Linked DNA regions of Elephas maximus indicus. The protein of the gene in region 1 binds, or shares a complex with, the protein of each later gene. Links are inferred from orthologs where the notes say so. Each region holds a gene or a part of one and is shown on either strand. Other genes may lie near its edges.

What was found.
Region 2: the proteins of GHRHR (region 1) and GHRH are in contact, whole or in part, in a cryo-EM structure (PDB 7CZ5), measured with the Homo sapiens proteins. The link is inferred for Elephas maximus indicus from reciprocal best matches to the Homo sapiens genes GHRHR and GHRH. Residues at the interface, in NP_000814.2 of Homo sapiens: Leu119, Ala120, Glu122, Glu123, Phe126, Ser127, Val129, Lys130, Tyr133, Val179, Lys182, Leu186, Phe187, Asp190, Thr192, Asp193, His194, Cys195, Phe197, His210, Thr213, Phe217, Ala271, Cys272, Asp274, Leu275, Asp276, Trp282, Ile285, Ile289; in NP_066567.1 of Homo sapiens: Tyr32, Ala33, Asp34, Ala35, Ile36, Phe37, Thr38, Asn39, Ser40, Tyr41, Arg42, Val44, Leu45, Gly46, Gln47, Leu48, Ser49, Ala50, Leu53.

The regions. Positions count from the first base shown.
Region 1 is NC_064826.1:92,363,911-92,373,373, forward strand, and holds the start of GHRHR (growth hormone-releasing hormone receptor), read left to right. Parts: upstream 1-5,490; coding exon 5,491-5,547; intron 5,548-9,216; coding exon 9,217-9,319; intron 9,320-9,461; coding exon 9,462-9,463.
Region 2 is NC_064843.1:32,290,827-32,300,268, reverse strand, and holds the start of GHRH (somatoliberin), read right to left. Parts: upstream 3,611-9,442; 5' UTR 3,475-3,610; intron 1,603-3,474; exon of another isoform or gene 1,559-1,602; intron 1,430-1,558; exon of another isoform or gene 1,223-1,429; intron 261-1,222; exon of another isoform or gene 137-260; intron 1-136. UniProt on the Homo sapiens protein: GRF is released by the hypothalamus and acts on the adenohypophyse to stimulate the secretion of growth hormone.

The DNA.
Region 1 (9,463 bases):
AAACCTTAGCAGCAGCCACTGTGGTATTCTAAATTTAATTTTAATTGTACCAGGAGTGTATAAATGAATTTTTCTTAAAAATTAGAATATTAGTGTTAAAGCTAATGTTCTATTTGATCATTCCCCATATCCCATCATCTGTCTCTTCCTCTTTTCCCAATTTTTATGATTTTGATGTGGAACTTCCAGACTTAAAGAAATACTTCTGCATACACACATATAGATTAAAAAAAAAAAATCTGCAATTTGCTTTTGTCTACTAAAATACATATGCTATAAAATCACCTTTATTGAGGAATCATTTGCATGTAATAAAGTTAATGTATCCAGTTAGATAAATTTCTGCATGCTTGGTTGCTAAAAGCTGCTTGGTTAGAAGTTCAAGTCCACCCAGATTCACCTTGGAAGAAAGACCTGGGGATCTATTTCTAAAAAATTAAAAAAAAGAATTAGCCCTTGAAAACCTTATCGAGGACAGTTCTACTCTGACACACATGGGACCACCAGGGGTCAGAGTTGGCTCTATAGCAACCGGCTTGGCAGAGGAGTGTAAGCACCAAGGTCTTCATACAGAATATTCCTGTCACCCCCCAGAAGTTCTCCCCTGCTCCTTCGCAGTCAATTCACAACCCTCACCCTGGGGATCTGCTTTCTTTTGCCACAGTTTTACCTTTCTTAAAATTTCATATAAATGGAATCGTACGGTATAGAGGTTTTTTTTAGTCTGACTTCCTTCACTTAGCATAATGCTTTTGACATTCATCCATGTTGTATGCATCAGTAATAGCTCCTTGTATGAGGAACCCTGGTAGCGCAGTGATTAAGCACTCGGCTGCTAATTGAAAGGCTGGCCATTGGAACTCACCAGACGCTCTGCAGGAGAAAGATGTGGCAGTCTGCTTCTGTAAAGATGACAGCCTTGGAAACCCTGTGGGGCAGTGCTCTGTCCTATAGTGTCGCTATGAGTCGGGATCGATTAGATGGCAATGCATGTATTCCATTTTGTGCATAGGCTGTGATTTTTCTTCCCCTTCATCAGCAACGAACATTTGAAGTGTTAAGAATGAAGTTCTGTGAACATTTGGGTACAAGCTTTTGTGTGAACAAATATCTTTCATTCCATCAACCTTTATTAATTGGAATTCTTCTGTAAGGAAGAGTTGTCCCTTCTCCTTTGTCCCTATTTATTCAATCATTTAACTTGTCTTTTGAGTAGCCTCTAGGTGGGTTCGAACACCAACTTTTCGGCTAGTAGTAGAATGCTTAACTATTTGCATCACCCAGGGGACACCATAGTAACAGTTACTGCAATGTTTGTTGCAAATATTTCTGTCAGTCCGTAGCTTGTTTTAGTTCTTATCTATGTGTTCTTTCTTGCTCATACATTCTTTTAATGTTGCCATGGAGCAATGATTAAGCATTTGGCTGCTAACCAAAAGGTCGGCAGTTCGAATCCACCAGCTTCTCCTTGGAAACCCTATGGGGCAGTTCTGCTTTGCCCTATAGGGTCACTATGAGAGTTGACTCAACAGCAATGGTTTTTTATGGTCAAACTTATTAATCTTCCCTTTTGGTTATTTACTTTTTATACAAATTTCATCTATTCTAAGATCATAAAAATAAATTTATAGTCTTGACATAACCTATTATTTTTTTGTTTTGTAGTTAGGATTTTAAACTTTCTAGAATTGATGTTTTGTAAATGTGAGCTATAAAGCTAACCTTAATTTTTTCCATACAAAGAATCTGTTGTTCCAGCCTTATTTGTCGCTAGTCTGTCCTTGTTGCACAATCCCATTAATAGTCGTCCGTGTGACCTAGGACCTGTGCAAGGTGCTTTATATGCCTTTCCTTGTCTACATATGCCATCAGCTCCACAAGAAAGGTGCTAGTATTACCCTCATTTTTTTATAATAGACTTTTTAAAGAGCAGTGTTAGGTTTACAGAAAAATTGTGCAGAAAGTACAGAAGTTCCCATATGCCCTCTCCCCCTTGCACAGCCTCTCCTATTACTAACATCTTGCATTAGTGCAGGGCATTTGGTACAATTGTTGAGCCAATATCAACACGTTATTACTAAATAAAGTCCATGGTTTACGTTAGGGTTCACTCTTTGTGTTCTACAGACCTATGGGTCTTGACAAATGTATAATGTCATGTGTCCACCGTTACAGTATCATGGTTTCACTGCCCTCCAAATGCCCTGTGCTTCACCTATTCATCTCTCCCTGCTCTCACTGAGCTTCTGCCAACCACCGATCTTCTCACTATTGCTATAATTTTGCTGTTTCCACAGTATTCTATAGTTGAAGTCATGCTCACCTGCATTTTTCAAATGGGGAAGCTGAGACTCAAAAAGGTTAAGTAACTTGCCCAAGGTCACATAGCTAGTAAGTCACGGAGGCAGAATTTGAACCCAGAGTACATAGAGAGAGCTAGAGATGGGAGTCCCGCAACTCTTGGCTATTCCAATAGAAAATGGGTTTGGGGAGAGAGCTAGGGAACACCTGCACTTAGATCTGGATTTCTCAACCTTGCCACCGTTTGTGTTTTGGACCAGATAGTTCTGTGTGTGTGTGTGTTTGTGTGTGTGTGGCAAGGAGACCACCCTATACATTGTCGGATGTTTAGCAGCATCCGTCACCTCTACGCACTACATACCAGTAGAACTTGCCACTCTCCTCACCCTACCCACTCCCAGCCTTGACAATGAAAAATGTCTCTAGACATTGTTAAATGTCCCCTGGGGGGCAAAATTATCCCCATTTAAAAACCTTAGACAACTCTATTATTCAGTGTAACTATCAATATCAGCTATTAATCATCATTAATGCTAATGGTACAAATTATCAGTGGTGATTTATGTAATATGTATCTTTGGGTTGTTGTTGCCTCTTCGGAGCTGAGGGTCAGAAGGTTCTACCCTTCCCTTTAAGTTACATCTTCTCAGCCTTCTGCGCTTCCAGTCTGTGGGGCCTCCCTCTGCCTGCCAGTGGAGGGGCTCTGCCTCGTCCTGAAAACATGCCAAGCCTGCACTGTGTTCACAGCAGGTACGTGGAAACGCTGGGGCAAGGGTAGGAGAGTCAGGGGCTGGAGGGTGGCTCTTCTCAAAATATTTGCTTTTAACACTTCTTTGGCAATGAATAAAAATAGAGAACAAAAGCCCTGCTGTTGTAAAAAGATACCTAGATCCAGATGTGGCGGGGGCGAAGCATCCTGCATCATTTATGATGCGAGTCAGGCTGTAAACATGTCGCTGTCACGAGCAACGAGTCCCGCCACCTGTGAGTAAAGACCTGCACACAAACATCGGGTCTTCTCAGGCACGGGGTTGTTCAGTGCCCTCAAAGATACAATCTTCTTTCAAATTCCAAAAATGTTTGCAAGACCCAGGGTAATTTAGAGTGCTGTCTTCAGCCTGGCCGGTTGGGATCCTGCATTTTAAAGTCTAAAACTCTGATAAAAATGGTCAGGCATTAGAGAGAAATGAAGTCCCGATACATGCTACAATATTAGTGAACCTTGAAAACATTATGCTGAGTGATGAAAATCTATCACAAAAGGATAAATATCATATGACCTCATTTATATGAAATATCTAGAACAGGCACATGTATAGAGACCAAAGTTTATTAGTGGTTACGGGGTGGGAGGGGTCCCTGAGTGGTGCAAAAGATTTGCACTCATCTGATGGTGAAAACAGCTACACGCTTGACTACTAGCCCAAAGGCTGGTGGTTTGAACCCACCCAGAAGTGCCAAGGAAGTCAGGCCTGGCACTCTGCTTCTGCAAGGTCACAGCCTTGAAAATCCTATGGAGCGGTCCTACTCTGCACACATGAGGTTGCCATGAGTCAACAACAAAAACAAAAACAACCAGTGTAAAGGTTGGTGACTCGAATCTACCCAGTGGCACTGTGGAAGAAAAGACTGGCCGTCTGCTTCTGTAGAGACTACAGCCAAGAAAATCCAAGGGAGCCGTTCTATTCTGTATCACATGGGGTGGCCATGGGTTGGTTTTTAATGGGAGGTGCAGGAGGGAGGGGGAAGGGGAGTCATTGTTTAGGAAGCAGTGAGTTTCTGGTTATCGTGAAATGTGGCAATGGATATTGGTGATAGTTGCACATTACTAACATAATTAGTGTCAGTAAATTGTATATACGAAAAATCTTGAATTGGCAAATGTTGTGTTATACATATCTTTACAAAAAAAAAAAAAAGAGAGACCAGGCAATGAAGGCTCAAAATGATTCTAGTGGCTGTACAAGCCCTCCCATTCCTGCACTGGAGGACCCCCATTCAGCCTGGCCTAGCTCCATGAGGGACCCCTAAAGGCTCAACTCTCCCTGCTACCACAAGGATTTCTGGGAGACAGGTAGACAAGCCTTTTCATGGTGATGTGAGTTCTAGAGCCTTGATATTTCCAGACTTTACCCCACCATCCAGGCTGGCATCCTAGCGAGGGAAAGAAATGGGGTCCTGCCGCTCTTACTCTTCTTGGCCAGCCCATGCCGGAGGTACGGATCACCTCCTTTTCTCAGCTTATTCTTCCCCTCTGGCCCCCGCTGTCTCTCCCCCAGCTCCTACGTCTTCTGGGTCCCCACAGCTCTGAGCTCTCTCCAGGGCTGAGGCTGGGATCACCAACCAACCTGGAGGCGCCCCGAAGGCAGGCCCAGGTCTCCTTCCTCTTCTCTGAGGCCCTTTCATTTTTTAGGGGGGTGGTCTCTCCACTGTGTGAGGTCATCAGTGGGTCAGTGGTAGAATTCTTGCTTTCCATGTAGGAGACTGGAGTTTGATTCCTGGCCAATTCACCTTATGTGCAGCCACCACCCATCTGTTATTGGAGGCTTACATGTTGCTATGACACTGAACAAATTTCAGTGGAGCTTCCAGAGTAACACAGACAAGGAAGAAAGGCCTGGAGGTCTAGTTCCAAAAATAAGCCAATAAAAATTCTATAAATCGTAACAATTGGATCCGAAACCAATCATGAGCTTAATGCAGGACTGGGCAACATTTTTTTCCCTTGCACATGGGGTCACCATGAGTTGGGGGCCAACTCAGCGGCAACCAATAACAACTCCACTGTGTAGACCAACAGAGAATTGGGCTCAGACAGAAAATGGTTAAGAGTATTGGCTAACCGGGTCAGGGAAGGTAATTGTGGATGTCACCTCTCTGGGTCTTTGTCATTAGGACAAACACACAGGCAGACTTGCAGATGATGTGGAAGGGGTGGAGGGCTCAGCCTCTCCCTGCTGGGGATACCTTGTTCCAGCCTCAGGGCCAGGGCTGAGTTGGACAAGATGCCCTGCAGCCCTGGTGAATATTCAGCTGGTTCTGTCCCCTTTGCTGGCTCCTGCCTATGCAAACAGCCACCTGGGAAGGGGGGCAGAGGTGGTGGCAGCAGCTGAAGCAGCAGAGGATAGAAGGTGGGAGAGGAAAGAAGGCAGAGGCTCCCCAGGCTGACGGAGCCACGCTAAGCCCACTATGGACAGGCGGCTGTGGGGTGCTTCCATCCTCTGCTTGCTGAACCTCTTACCGACCGTGAGTACCTGGCTCAGACCCTCCTGCCTCTCCCACTGGGCTCCTGATCTTGGAGCCCAACGGCCAGATGGGGGCCCAGCTGGAGTCTGCCGAGACTCCACTGCCCACACCCAGCACGGGGGTCCCTACCATGCAGGTGCGGGCCCTGGCTTGGAGAACTCCTGACACAGGGGCTCCGTCCTTCCCTTGTCCAGGCAGCCTATGCTACCTTGGGAAGCCCGGGCCATCACACCCAAGGTATGCCTCAGAACTGGGGAGACAAAGTCAGCACCAACTCCTTACATCCCAAGCTACCTGTTCCTCTCAGCTTCCAGTTGCCCTTGAGTTGAATCTAACTCATGGTGACCCTATACGTGTCGGAGTAGACCTGTGTGCCATAGGGTTTTCCAGGCTGATTTTTTTTGCAAGTAGTTCGCCAGGCCTTTCTTCCAGGGCACTTCTGGGTGCACTCGAGCCTTCAACCTTTCAGTTAGCAGCAGAGTGTGTTACAAGTTTATACCACCCAGGGCCTCCTCTCAGCTATGCATCCCCACTTCTTATACGCACTCCTCCTCTGATAAGGTTTTCAGGTCCCTCTGTCTCCCCATGACTCCTTGAACTGTGCTCCAGCTCTGATGTTTCCCTCTAGGAGTGCGTGGCCAGAGCTGGCCCCAGGACTGAGTAGGGCCTGAGTAGTATTTGGAGAACCAACTGCTCCCCTCTGGCATTCTCACAAAATGGAACCCTGGTGGCGCAGTGGTTAAAGTGCTTGGCTACTAACCAAAAGGTTGGCAGTTTGAACCCACCAGGTGCTCTGCGGGAGAAAGATGCGGCAGTCTGCTTCTGTAAAGATTACAGGATTACAGCCTTGGAAACCTTATGGGGCAGTTCTACTCTGTCCTTCAGAGTCACTACGAGTCAGAATCACCTCCATGGCAGTGGGTTTGGTTTGGTTTTGGGTTTTCCTCTCACAATATGCCTTGGAGAAGTGTTTGGTGCCAAATATTGCTCTGAGGCCTAGAACGCTGGAGAATAGGCAGCAGGACAGAGGGGCCCCTCTGTACGTCCTGCAATTATCCTGCGTATTTTCCAGGATGTTCCACCATGTGACAGCAGGGACCAGGAGGGTAGCCACAACGTACTGGGTGGGGCAGCCCCAGCTCCCAGGAGCTCCTCAGAGCCACATGGACTGGGACCTCCTTTTCCCCTGTTGCCTCAGTTCCCCTGGCTTGTTGGGGGGGAGGTGCCACCCCCAGCACCCTTGCTGCACCTGATGCCAGAGACACAGGCCTCGGCTTGAACCCTGGCCCCATCAAACTAGCTGTGTGACCCCGGGTAAATTCCACCCTTCCTGAGCCTAACTTGCTGCTTTTGTAAAGAATGAAAGTGCTACCTACTTGCAGGGTTGTTGTGCCTTCGGTGAAAGCTGGTTTGTCAAGGGCTAGGCATAGGGTGCCATGCATGGAGCTTCCATGCCCTCTTCATCTGGGCTGAGGGCAGCCTCATTCCTCTTACCTGTGCGAGCCCCACACTGAAAGCTTTACCTTTGGAGGGGGAACCGAGGCCCTCTGGTGGTCATTCAGCAGCCAAGGCTGGCGTCTCCCAGGGAAGGCTCCACTCTCCATAGGCGAGGCCAGTGTTGAGGAAGATGGAGTGGGCCTTTGGGATAGAGTGGGATTCAGTATGTGAGATGGGGTGAACTGAGACAGCCTTTGGGTCGCCTTCCCAGTCCCCTTCCCCCGACAGTCACTGCTTTTTAGCTGGCCCTGAGTCCCCACATCCGGGTGATTAGTTGGGCTTCCCAGTATTTTCCTGCTTCCCTGAGGAAGTGTGGGGGCCAGGGCTGGACTACCCAATAAGCAAGGTATGCACGGGCCCAATTGTGCCTTCCCACCAATCTGCAGTGCACAATTTCACCTGTGAAATTCCTCACCACAAATTAGCAAGTAAATACAGTTAAGTGCTTGTGTACCTTGCTCAATGCAAGCTGGTGTATATTGTGCTTACCTGGCTAATTTGCCTGGTGGGGGCTGCCATTCCTTCTTCTTGGTTGGAAGCTGCCCATCAATACCCTAGTCCCTCTGGCCTCAGTGGCTCCCCACACAGGCTCTGATATGTTCCCAGAAGGACTGGGGCTCCCAGATTGGTGACAAAGGAAGGACAGGCAGAGACTACGGCTCTCTAAACACCCCAGGGTTACAACTAGGCTGCTGGATAAGAACATCTCAATGAGGCTTGCCTGCCTCCAAACCTTCCTGCATTCCTGTGCTTAGTATGTTCTGGGCAGATGAGACCGGGCCGCATACAGGCCTGGGGTCACTGAGTCTTGAAGGGAAACCGAGAGCAGTTTGGGCATCCACCAAAATGGAGACACAGAGCCTGGACGGTCGGCGACATCTGCAGCCTAAGGCCCCACAGGACTACACAGGAGATGGCAGAACTATTGAGCAGTTGAGCCCAAACTGGGTTTTGGAAAGTGGGATCAGCAGATCGGGGACTGGAGTGGCCCCCTCTCCAGTGACAGGGCTGGTAGGGGTGGCCCCACTTGCTGGGTTGGGCCTCTTCCTCATCTCCTAGCCCACAGCTCTGTAGCAAGGTCCTTGGATTCCTCCTGGGTGGTCACTCACTGTCCACCGTCCCAACTCTGGTTTCAGCCCCTGTCTCACACCCCCTGCACTCTTCATGATACCTGTATTTCAAACCAGACTGTCATTGTTAGTTGCTGTCAAGTTCGCTCCAACTCATGGCAATCCCATGTAAAAGAGAATGAAATGTTTCATGATCCTGCTTCATCCTCATGATCGTTGGTATGTTTGAGTCCATTATTGTGGCCACTGTGTATTTGGAGTGTCTTCCACCCTAGGGGGCTCATCTGTTGTAATCCTTAGGGTCTTCACGGGCAAAATTTCAGAAGTAGATCACCAGGCCTTTCTTCCTAGTCTGTCTTAGTCTGGAAGCTCTGCTGAGACCTGTCCAACATGGATGACCTTGCAGACTACTGGGCACTGCAGTTGTTGCTGTAGTAAGAGGAGAGCCCCAGAGAATTTTGAAGTGGTGCACATAACATATTCAATACATTTATTAATCTTCCTAAGTTTCTATTCACTTATCATCTGTCTGTCTATCTGTCTATCCATCCATCCATCCATCCACCCACCCACCCACCCATCCACCCGCCCACCCATCCACCCAGCCATCCATCCATCCACCCACCCATCCATCCATCCACCCATCCACCCGCCCACCCATCCACCCGCCCACCCATCCACCCAGCCATCCATCCACCCACCCATCCATCCATCCACCCACCCACCCACCCATCCATCCATCCACCCAGCCATCCACCCAGCCATCCATCCATCCACCCACCCACCCACCCACCCATCCATCCATCCAGCCATCCACCCACCCATCCATCCACCCAGCCATCCATCCATCCACCCACCCATCCATCCATCCATCCATCCATCCAGCCATCCATCCATCCACCCACACCCATCATCCATCCACCCAGCTATCCATACATACATTTACCCAAATATTCATCCAATACATCTTATATGTCCTGTGAGCCAGGCCATGTGATTAGGATTAGGGGCACAGAAATTCTCTGTGCTCAGGTTATTTGGGCCAGTGGACCTTAAAGGAGCGTCTGATGGGCTCGCCTCATCCCGTAACTCTTTCCTGCAGGCACTGGGTCTTGTGCACCCAGAATGTGACTTCCTCATGCAGTTGAGAGAGGATGAGCATGTGTGTCTTCAAGCAGCAGAGAGGATGCCCAACACCACCCTGGGTATGGGGCTTGGGAGGGAAGTGGGGGCTGAAGGGTGGGAGGAGGCTTCTCTGAACCCTTGATTTCTTGCAGCCTCACCACTCAGAATGCTAGAGGAGCCTTCTCATGGGCCGAGTTGACATTGCCCTGTCTCTCAATCTAGGC
Region 2 (9,442 bases), on another chromosome or scaffold:
TAGTCTTCAAGGGGATGCAGATCCATCCCGAAGCCTCCTTTCCCATGATCATCCAACATGGCTCCCTTTCCTCCTCCTCCCTGGGCCTGCTGAGACGTGGGGTCCGGTAGACTGGGCCTGCACTGGAAGAACCTACCTTCCACTTCTGTGTTCACCTGTGCTGTCAAGGAATCATCCACCTCACTCCAGACACTGGGGTTCCAGAGAGGGCACCCACCATGGGCGGCTCACTGAGGTATGAGGCCCCTGCACCTCCAGAGCTGGAGGAAGAAGCCGCCTAGGGCTCAGTCATCAGCCCCTTCCACATGTGTCCCCCCATACACACAGGCAGCCCTCCAGTTCCTGCTCTACACTTGCTGCCAGTGAGTGACCAGGGGCTCACTACCCCCAAGCCAGTCCTCTTTCCAGGCAGTTCTTATTGTTAGGAAGTCTTTCTCACCTTGTATCAAGCCCGAATCCCCTTACCCTCGTTGTTGTTGTGTGCCCTCCAGTCTATTCCGATTCATAGTGCCCTATATGGCAGAGTATAACTGTCCCATAGGGTTTCTTAGGCTGTAATCTTTATGGGAGCAGGTTGCCAGGTCTTTTCTCCTGCAGAGCGCCTGGTGGGTTTGATCTGCCGACCTTTCGGTTAGCAGTCAAGTGCTTAACAATTGCACCACCAGGGCTCTGCCTCCGCTATTCCAGTAAGGATGGGAGCTAGAGAAAAGACTAGAGCATGGTGTCTGCCCCCAAGGGCTGCCCTTTAGTATCCACCTTCATCCACATAAGGAGCCCTTTAGAGAAGTTTTGCTCCTCAGGCCAAGGACCTTCAGTCTGTCCTTCTTAACTTACCACATCATGTCTGGCTTTCTTTTCCCAACTGTCCCAAGCTGCACCTCTGACAGTGGGATTGGCTAAGCAGGGAGATCTTTGGGGGCAAGGAGAGCCCATTAACCAAGAGCTCCAGAACCATTGCTTCTCCAGTCACCCAGCTGCAGCCTACGCTTTCTTGCCTTCTTTACTGCCGATCTTTGCAAGGTTTGGGCACATCCAGGCACCCAGTCACCTCATTCTCCTTCTAGAAGCCCCTTGGCTCTCCACTCCCTCTAGAGCAAAGCCCAAGTCCCTCTTCTCCGCCTAAGCTTCCCCTCTGCCTCCTCACCTCCTGCCCCTTCTCCATAGGGCCAGCCCAGTTGGTTCCCAGTCCCTGTGCCCCCCCCCCCGGGTCTGCCCAGCCTACCCGCACTCCCATCCTCTGGAGCAGGTATCACGATTCCCATTTTATAGCCAAGGAAACGAGTCCAGGGAGGAGAAGGGCCTTTTTCCATGGCCCTCCATCCAATTAGTTTCGGAGTGGGCTCTTCAGAACGGGCCTTCCAATTCCCAGGCCAGTGGCCTTCCTCCTGCTCCACGCCGCGGCCCCCCAGATACACTACCCTATTCACGGTACTCCCTATTCATGGGACACTTCAGAATTCATCACCTGCATGTGGGAAACAGTGCCAAAGAAACAGAAAGCTTTCACCCTTTGTCATCCGGACTCAGGGGAAGAAAAAAAGGGAGCAAACAGGGGCACCTGCTTGAATGGTGTCTCCCTAAGCTCACAGTGGTTTCAAGGAGTTGAAAATACCTCATAAGAGGGCAGAATTTGGGGAGCAAGTAATAGTAAATGCTGTAACACCCTGCTCACTCAAAATGAGGTTTATTACATCATTCTGGGTAACCAAGTGGCACTACACTTGGCATGGGTGAAGGCACTCTTGCAACCACCGGGCTATGAGAACACAGTGCATGGGGTTGCAAAACTCCACCGACAAAGATGGGAAACAACCAGAATTGTCCAGTTTAAGACTAGAGTTAGGATAAGAATTTGGGCAACAAAGGATAAAACAGCTGTTGGCAGACAGTTTACACAGGGCCATTCCAAGAAGCTGAAATTCACTGACTTATGTGTAACACAAACTCAACATCATTCCTGAGGACCCGTTGAAGACTCCAAAGGCATTTTAGGGTTTATTATCTCTCATTATGAATATCATTTTGCTTTCTGCAGTGCTTCCAAACCAATTCTGTGATTAGATGCATTTGAGGTTGTCTGGCTACAGGATGAATGGGCAATTGGTCGACATTAGTTGGCACCCTCTGCTAGCCTTCCTGCCAAGAACGCACTGAGAATTCTGCAGATGTGGACTTCTGCTAAAGACAGAGGTTAGGTCTCAAGTGTCAAAACAAGTAAGACCACTTTTGAACACCTAGGAAAAAATGTTCCACCTTTCCTAAATATTCTGCTTTGTAATTCGAGACTTCTAAAGCCATGACCTGAGGGGCCCTGGTGACTATAAGACAATGACAAGGAGCAAGGAGTCCTGGTGGCCCAACTTTTCAGCTATCAGCTGCTAACTGAAAGGTTGGTGGTTCGAACCCACCCAGCAGCTCCATGGGAGAAAGACCTGGAGATCTGCTCCAGTAAAGATTACAGACTAGAAAACCCAATGGGGCAGTTCTACTTTGTCACACAGGGTCACTGTGAGTCGGAATCTACTTGACAGCAACCAACAACAAAAAACAATGAAATCCTGATCCAGTTTAACTGTTTCACCAAGAATGTTCCAAGTTGAAGGAAATGTAAGTGCTCAATGAGGAAGCATCTTAATTGTCATTCAGGAGTGGCACCTACCATCTTTCAGAAAGGATTTGAGGCTGCTTATGGTGAAAGACAGGAATACATAAGAACCATTACAGTAAAGGTCAAGAGACAAGAGTCGCGTAATGGAGAGCACCCAGGGTGGAAAATTTTGTCTAAAACCTAGAGTAGGGAACACGGCTGCAAGTGAACAAGAAAGTGAAAAACCAAAAAAAAAAAAAAAAAAACTGTTGCCATCAAGGCGATTCCGGCTCATTGCAACCCTATAGGACAGAGTCAAACTGTCCCATACAGTTTCCAAGGAGCACCTGGTGGATCCAAACTGCTGACCTCTCGGTTAGCAGCCATAGCTCTTAACCACTACGCCATCAGGGTTTCCAAGAAAGCAATATGTTATTAATTTCCAGGCAATTATGTTGAATCGGTTCTGAGTGATTGATGAGCAGTATTGATTTGCACGTCCACTTGTTTCCTCTCAGATCCTTGGAAGAACCTTGCCATTAACAAGAGAATCTAGCCCCCAAAGCCTGCCTGTACACCCCTGAAGGTGCATTGATACCTCCCTTACCTCCAACAGTTGCTTGGAACATGCTCACCTGCTGCTTCTCCATGGGTTAAGGCGCCACAGCATCCAAGATGACTTCAAAATGGCACCAACCATTGAAAGCATGTGCCAGAGCCCCGGACAAGGGGTTATTTTATCTAGAGAGGGGCCCAAATGCACTCACCAGTCCGTGGTCAAAGAGGATGGTGCGGAGGGCCTCTTTGAGTTGGCTTTTCTGAGTTGGTGAGAACATCAACTTTTCTTGCCCCCAACCAGCCTAGCCCCCAGGGCCACCCTCTCTCACCTCTGATGTGGCAGGTCTCCCTCTGCTATGAGGCACTGCTCCAGTCCCACAGGCTTGAGCTCAGCGTTTGCTCCGGCAGCTGCATGGCACTCCCATCATTTATACCTTCATTTTCCCAAGCTTTGTCAGCGTCAGAGAATCAATTACCTACAAGTCAACCGAAGGACCAATTTTAGCATCACACTGACAAAACCCTAATAGGGGAAAGAGGTTTTGCCCCTTGCAAATTAGATGTGTACTGAGCTTCCCCTTTATCTTTGAGGAGGGTGAACAGAGTACAAAGTTGTACTATTATTCTGGGAGGAGTAGAGAGTATAATAGTGCTGCTCTAATAATTGGAGTACTTACAACAATGAAACACCAAGGATTCATCTCTTCTCTGAGACAAACGTGCCTGTTAAATTTTTCATATAGTTTTGTGTTGTCCGGGTGTAACTTTATTTCACTTTAGGGTGGGAAACTTTACCAATAAGTGTTTTTCTCTCCTTAGTGAGGAAAGTTTATTGCTATCTCCCTTGTCATCCAATTATCGAGATTTTCTCCCCTTAGTGTTTTTCTCTCCTTAGTGAGGAAAGTTGATTGCTGTCTCCCTTGTCATCCAATTATCAAGATTTTCCTCCATTTCATTTGTTCCTGCTGCAGTCACAGGCTGGTTTAGGCAGCTAGCCCGAGGTATGTATCATGATACATCAAACAACCCAGCATCGGCTCTTGCCTCAGAGACGCTTGAAGTGAAAGGAAAGAGATGAGAAGCCTTAGGAGAGTTGTGTTTCCAGACATCTCTAGCCTGTAGCTGAGGAATCTTCAAAGAATGACATAAAGGAGTGGCAAGGCAGATGCGCTGATTTACCATTCAGTTGTTGTGGAGGCGTGGAAAGAGCTCCAAACCATGAGTCCAGACACTGGCTGCCTCCCCGCCCCGGGCCTGTCCTTCACGACTTCTGTAACCCTCAGCAAGTGACTTCACCCCTCCAGGCCTCAGTTTCTTTACCTGGGAACTCAAGAGTTGGCTCAGAGCAGCAGCTTCCAAACTTTTTTTAAGAACTGGCATAACTTTTTCCTCAGAAATCTTCTGTGGAAGTGCAGTATACAAAACAGATGAAAAATGTGGCTGTGCTGGTTGAAGAAGGGGGAGCACAGACCCCCTTTGCTTGCCCCCGGGACAATGAAACTACTGAAACTACCAGAAGTTTCCAAGGGCCCATCTAGCAATGATATTTTGTGATTTCTGCTGCTTAGCCTGTGCAGAGTGATGCTCTTGGCAGAGAACACACATCAAATGCTCCCCAGAAAAGCAGGGACTGAGTAGCATGTCAGCCTGCTGGCATCGACATGAAGTGGCCAAATTAGGCCACATCCAGAGATTCAGAGTGGGCTGATGGAACACAGCAGCAGGTGGCAGATGGAGTAGTTGGGAACCCCAAGGGCAATGGGTCATTGCGCAGACAAGAGGATGAGAGGTTACCCCAGAAAATGCACACTGGGAACCGCGTAGAACTGGATGCTGAGCCACAGCGCAGGTGCAGGACACATGGCGTTGGCTGGAGAAGCCATAGGGATCAGGATTCAACCCCAGTGGATGATTTGTGCCAGACACTGCACTAAGGAATTCATGCCTGATATTGGTTTCTTTGTCTTACGTAAAATGGGAGTGATAGAGCTCAAGTCATGAGGCTGTTGGGTGAGGATTAAATGTGCCAGTGCACAGAGCACAGGCCTGGCATAGGGTAAGCCTCACAAACGAGCTATTGCCATTGCTATTGTTGTTACAAATGAGGAAACAGAGGCACAGAGATGCTGCACACTCACCCACAGTCACAGAGCTGATCAGTAGTAGAGCCAGGACTCAAACAAAAGTTTTCTGACTCCCAAATTCAGTGCCCCATGCCAAGATGATGTTCTCCTAAGACCCTTCCTTGGTCCCACCTTTCTTTTTTGTCAAGAATTTTATCAGTTTTATTGAAGAGTAATTCACATACCACAAAACTCACCTCTTTTAAGCCTACAATTAAATGAGTTTTCATAAATTTATACAGTTATGTAACCATCACCACAATCCTGTTTTACTATCAATTCCTATTCCCAACTCAAGCCCCAGGCAAGCACAGATCAGTTTTCTGAAAGTTCATATAAATGGAAGCATACAACATTTGTTCTTTGGTGTCAGACTTTTTTCACTCAGCATAATACTTTCGAGATTCATCCATGTTATTCCGTGTTTCTCTAGCTTGTTCCTTTTTATTGCTGGGTAATATTTTATTATATGGATGTATCACAGTTTGTTTATCCTTTCACCTGTTAATGGGCATTTAGATTGATTCCAGCTTTGGACCATTACGAATAATGCTGCTACGAACATTTGTGTACAAGACTTTGTGTGAATGTATGTTTTCACTGCTTTTGGGTAGGTACCTGGGAGTAGAATTGCTGGCTCATATGAAAATCCTGGTGGCACAGTGGTTAAGAGCTTGGCTATTAACCAAAAGGTCAGCAGTTCGAATCTACGTGCCACTCCTTGGAAACCCTATGGGGGCAGTTCTACCCTGTCGTATAGGGTCAGTACGAGTGGAAATCGACTTGGCGGCAATGTTTTTTTAATGAAAATCCTGGGTGGTATAAATGGTTAACACATTTGGCTGCTAACTGAAAGTTTGGCTGTTTGAATCCACCCAGAGGTACGTCGGAAGAAAGACTTGATCTGCTTCTAAAAAATCAGCCGTTGAAACCCTATGGAGCGCAGTTCTACTCTGACACACATGGGGTCACCACAAGATGGAATCAACTCAACGGCAGCTGGTTTTTCAGTTTTATGGTAGGTGTACATTTACCTTTTTAAACTATTTCCCAAAGAGGCCGTACCATTTACATTCCCACCAGCAGTGATGGAGGAGGCTCCCCAGCAATTCGTGAGCTCTTAAAGAAGCATTTATTTCCTCATCCTACAAACACTTATTAAGCACCTAACAAGGTCCAAATGGAGTTCACGGGATTCACTGTCACTGAAAGACCTGGTTCCTTCTCTGCCTTTTAGGAGAGTGGGGCAGGCCTTTCCCCCCTGCTGGGAGGAAAGCACAGCGTGTGGACACAGTTCTTGTCTTCAGAGAGCTTCTGGAGGCAGGCAGACAGGAAGCTGGGCAACGATCCCAGCCGGTAGAGCCAAAGGAAGACACACCATACATGCTCCGAGACCTGAGAGAAGGGAGAAGTCACGCAAAGCTGGGAGGGCATCAGACAGGAGGGGAGAGAAGCAGCTGGGCCTGAAAAAGGAGCAAAGGCTTAGGTGGCAAATGGATTTGGATTTGAAACCCATTTACAAGCAGTGTGATTCTGGGCAACGTGCTTGATCTTTATGAGCCTCGGTTATCTCATCTGTACAATGGAGGTTGTAAAAATAATCAAAGCACAAAGAAATGAAAACATAAGGTTTATTTGGGCAGTTAATTGGTATGCATATGGGGAAAACCTGTTCAGAGAAGCCGAGGTTTCTTCTTAGGCCTGTTACAATGAGTTTTAGGGAAAGAAAGTAAACACAAGGTAGAATATTAACTGTTGTCTAACTTTACCATAAATTCAATCAAGCTTTCTTTCCTTCCTGAGATTGCCAGGTGGACTTTGTGACCTAGCTGAGGTATCTCAATTACTCAGGAAACTCCAAAGGTTTAAAATTGTCTTTTCAGAAAACAAGGGCAAAGACTAGTTTAATCTTCAGTGAAGTTAAATTCTTTGCACAGAGGGGGTCTGGGATTTTATGATCAGCCTGTCTCCTTGTTAGTGGTCAGGGTGCATTCCACATGGGTCAGTGACCTCTGTTAAATTTCCTATGTACTCAGAGGAGTCTATTGATTTGGAGCCTCCATTTCCCTTCTTATTAACAGTGTGGTAATACCTACCTCCCCGGGTTGTTGTAAGGATCAGAGATATGCTTGTCAAGTGCCTGATACATAGGTTCTTGGCCAAGGGTAGCTGTTGTTATAATTCTTATTATCAGAGCTGAACCCTGGATGCTGGCTGGGGTAGTGGCGGGGAAGAGCTGTGAGCTGTTTAGATGACAAGCTGTATTTGCAGTAGATTCTCAAACCCATGGAGGAAGAGGATGAAGGCAGGAAGCCAAGAAGAGCCAGTGTGCCCCATATGAGAGCCCAACCCCCTCCAGCAAATCCCACCGCCTGCATCTTCCTTGTCCTCTGAGAGCCAGTGAGAAGGCCTAGTTCCACACCCGGCTCTCTTTCCCAGGATGCGTTTTAACCCGGCGTTAATTAGCGATCGTGGCTGCATCTAGGAGCCAGGGGCTTGAGCTGTGGAAAGAAAGCACCCGAGAGAATGGCAGGCTTTAAGAGGCCCCAAAGAGCTGGGGCGGAGAGACTCAGCTGAGAAGGATACAAGCCGTGCATTTGTGTTGCAAATTTCCAGTGTGTTCCAGCCAGACATTCAAAGATGCTGAAGGGGGGGTTGGGGTGGGGAGGGGAGAGGAAGTCCACAAAAGGGGCCTGTCTGAGGGCCTCAGACCCTGCTTTGTAAAAGCTGCCTTCATCACCCTCCCTGGATTATGGCAGTGTTCCCAGCCCGAGACTACCGCGCAGGGAAGGGGGAAGCCTGGACTCTGGACTCCCAGATTCCCTTGACCCCTACTCTCTTCTAGGTTTGTTTCTATGGAGTCCTCAGCAGCAGATGTCACATGAGTGCTATGTCTGAGAGAGGGGACCAGGGTTTGAGTGTCGTGGCCTTGATGGGTAGGCTCAGGCAAAGTCGCTTGACTTCTTTGAGCCTCAGTTTCCTCTTCTAAAAAATGGGGCTGATGGAGTCTTTTCCCTTTATCTCACAATAGTCATGGCGTCTGTAAAACATTTGTCAACTATCAGGCAAGAGGATCTCCGATAAGATGGCAATTCAGAAGTTCATCTCTTTCCAGAAAAATCAGTGTTTGGGAAGGTCATTGTTGTTGTTGTGTGCCGTCAGAATAGCAACCCTATAGGACAGAGTAGGACTGCCCTGACAGGGTTTCCTAGGCTCTAATCTTTACGGGAGATCGACAGGTCATTCCTTCTAAGGAACCATTGGTAGCTGACCTTTCAGTTAGCAGTCAAGTGCTTAACCATTGTACCACCAGGGCTCCTTGAGAAGGTCACTAGAAGAGCTCTTTTAGTGAAGTAAAAAAAAAAAAAAAATCCGTTCCTGTCAAGTCGATTCCGACTCATAGCAACCCTATAGGACAGAGTAGAATTGCCCCACGGGGTTTACAAGGAGCGCCTGGTGGATTCGAACTGTCAAACTTTTGGTTAGCAGCCAAGCTCTTAACCGCTGCACCACCAGGGCACCAATGAGGGGGTAAAGTTGACTATATTTAGCGAATCAATTAAACAACCCTGGGTGGCTTGGAAATGTTATTCCCTTGAGTATTTTAAGTGCTGACCTTGCTTGGAATCTTTGGGCCTGCCCCAGCTCAATTATTATGAATGTTAACCAGGTGGGTTTTCTGGGTTGGTAGACTTGGTGTAGGTGCCAAGCTCACAGACACAAGGAGGTGGTAACGGCTGATTCTTCAGTCAACCTCCTTCTGGTGGACAGGTGACCAGCATTCTTCAGTGACCCCTTTTGCTCCTACTTCTTTAAACAGCATGCTCACACACTGCTCCTCCTTCCCTGTTTTTGCCTTCTGCCTGAGTGATTTAATAGGCGGATGTTTGTCTTCTTTCCTGGGGCCCCCAGGATGCCCCAGGACCAAATCTGACTCATCTTTGGGGCCCTGGAAGCTTTCTCATCAAAGCATCGTCCGTGGACCAGCACCATCTGGGTGCTGGCTGGAAATGCAGAATCTCGGGCCCCACACCTACGGAAATAGAAGCTAAAACTGCTTTGTTCCAGGATTCTAAAGGCATAGAGCACTCCAGGTGGTTTCGGAATGCCCAGTGGTTTTCTGGACAGAGGAGGGCTGTGGCCGCAGGCAGCCGGGAGATGTCGCTGTTTCCCA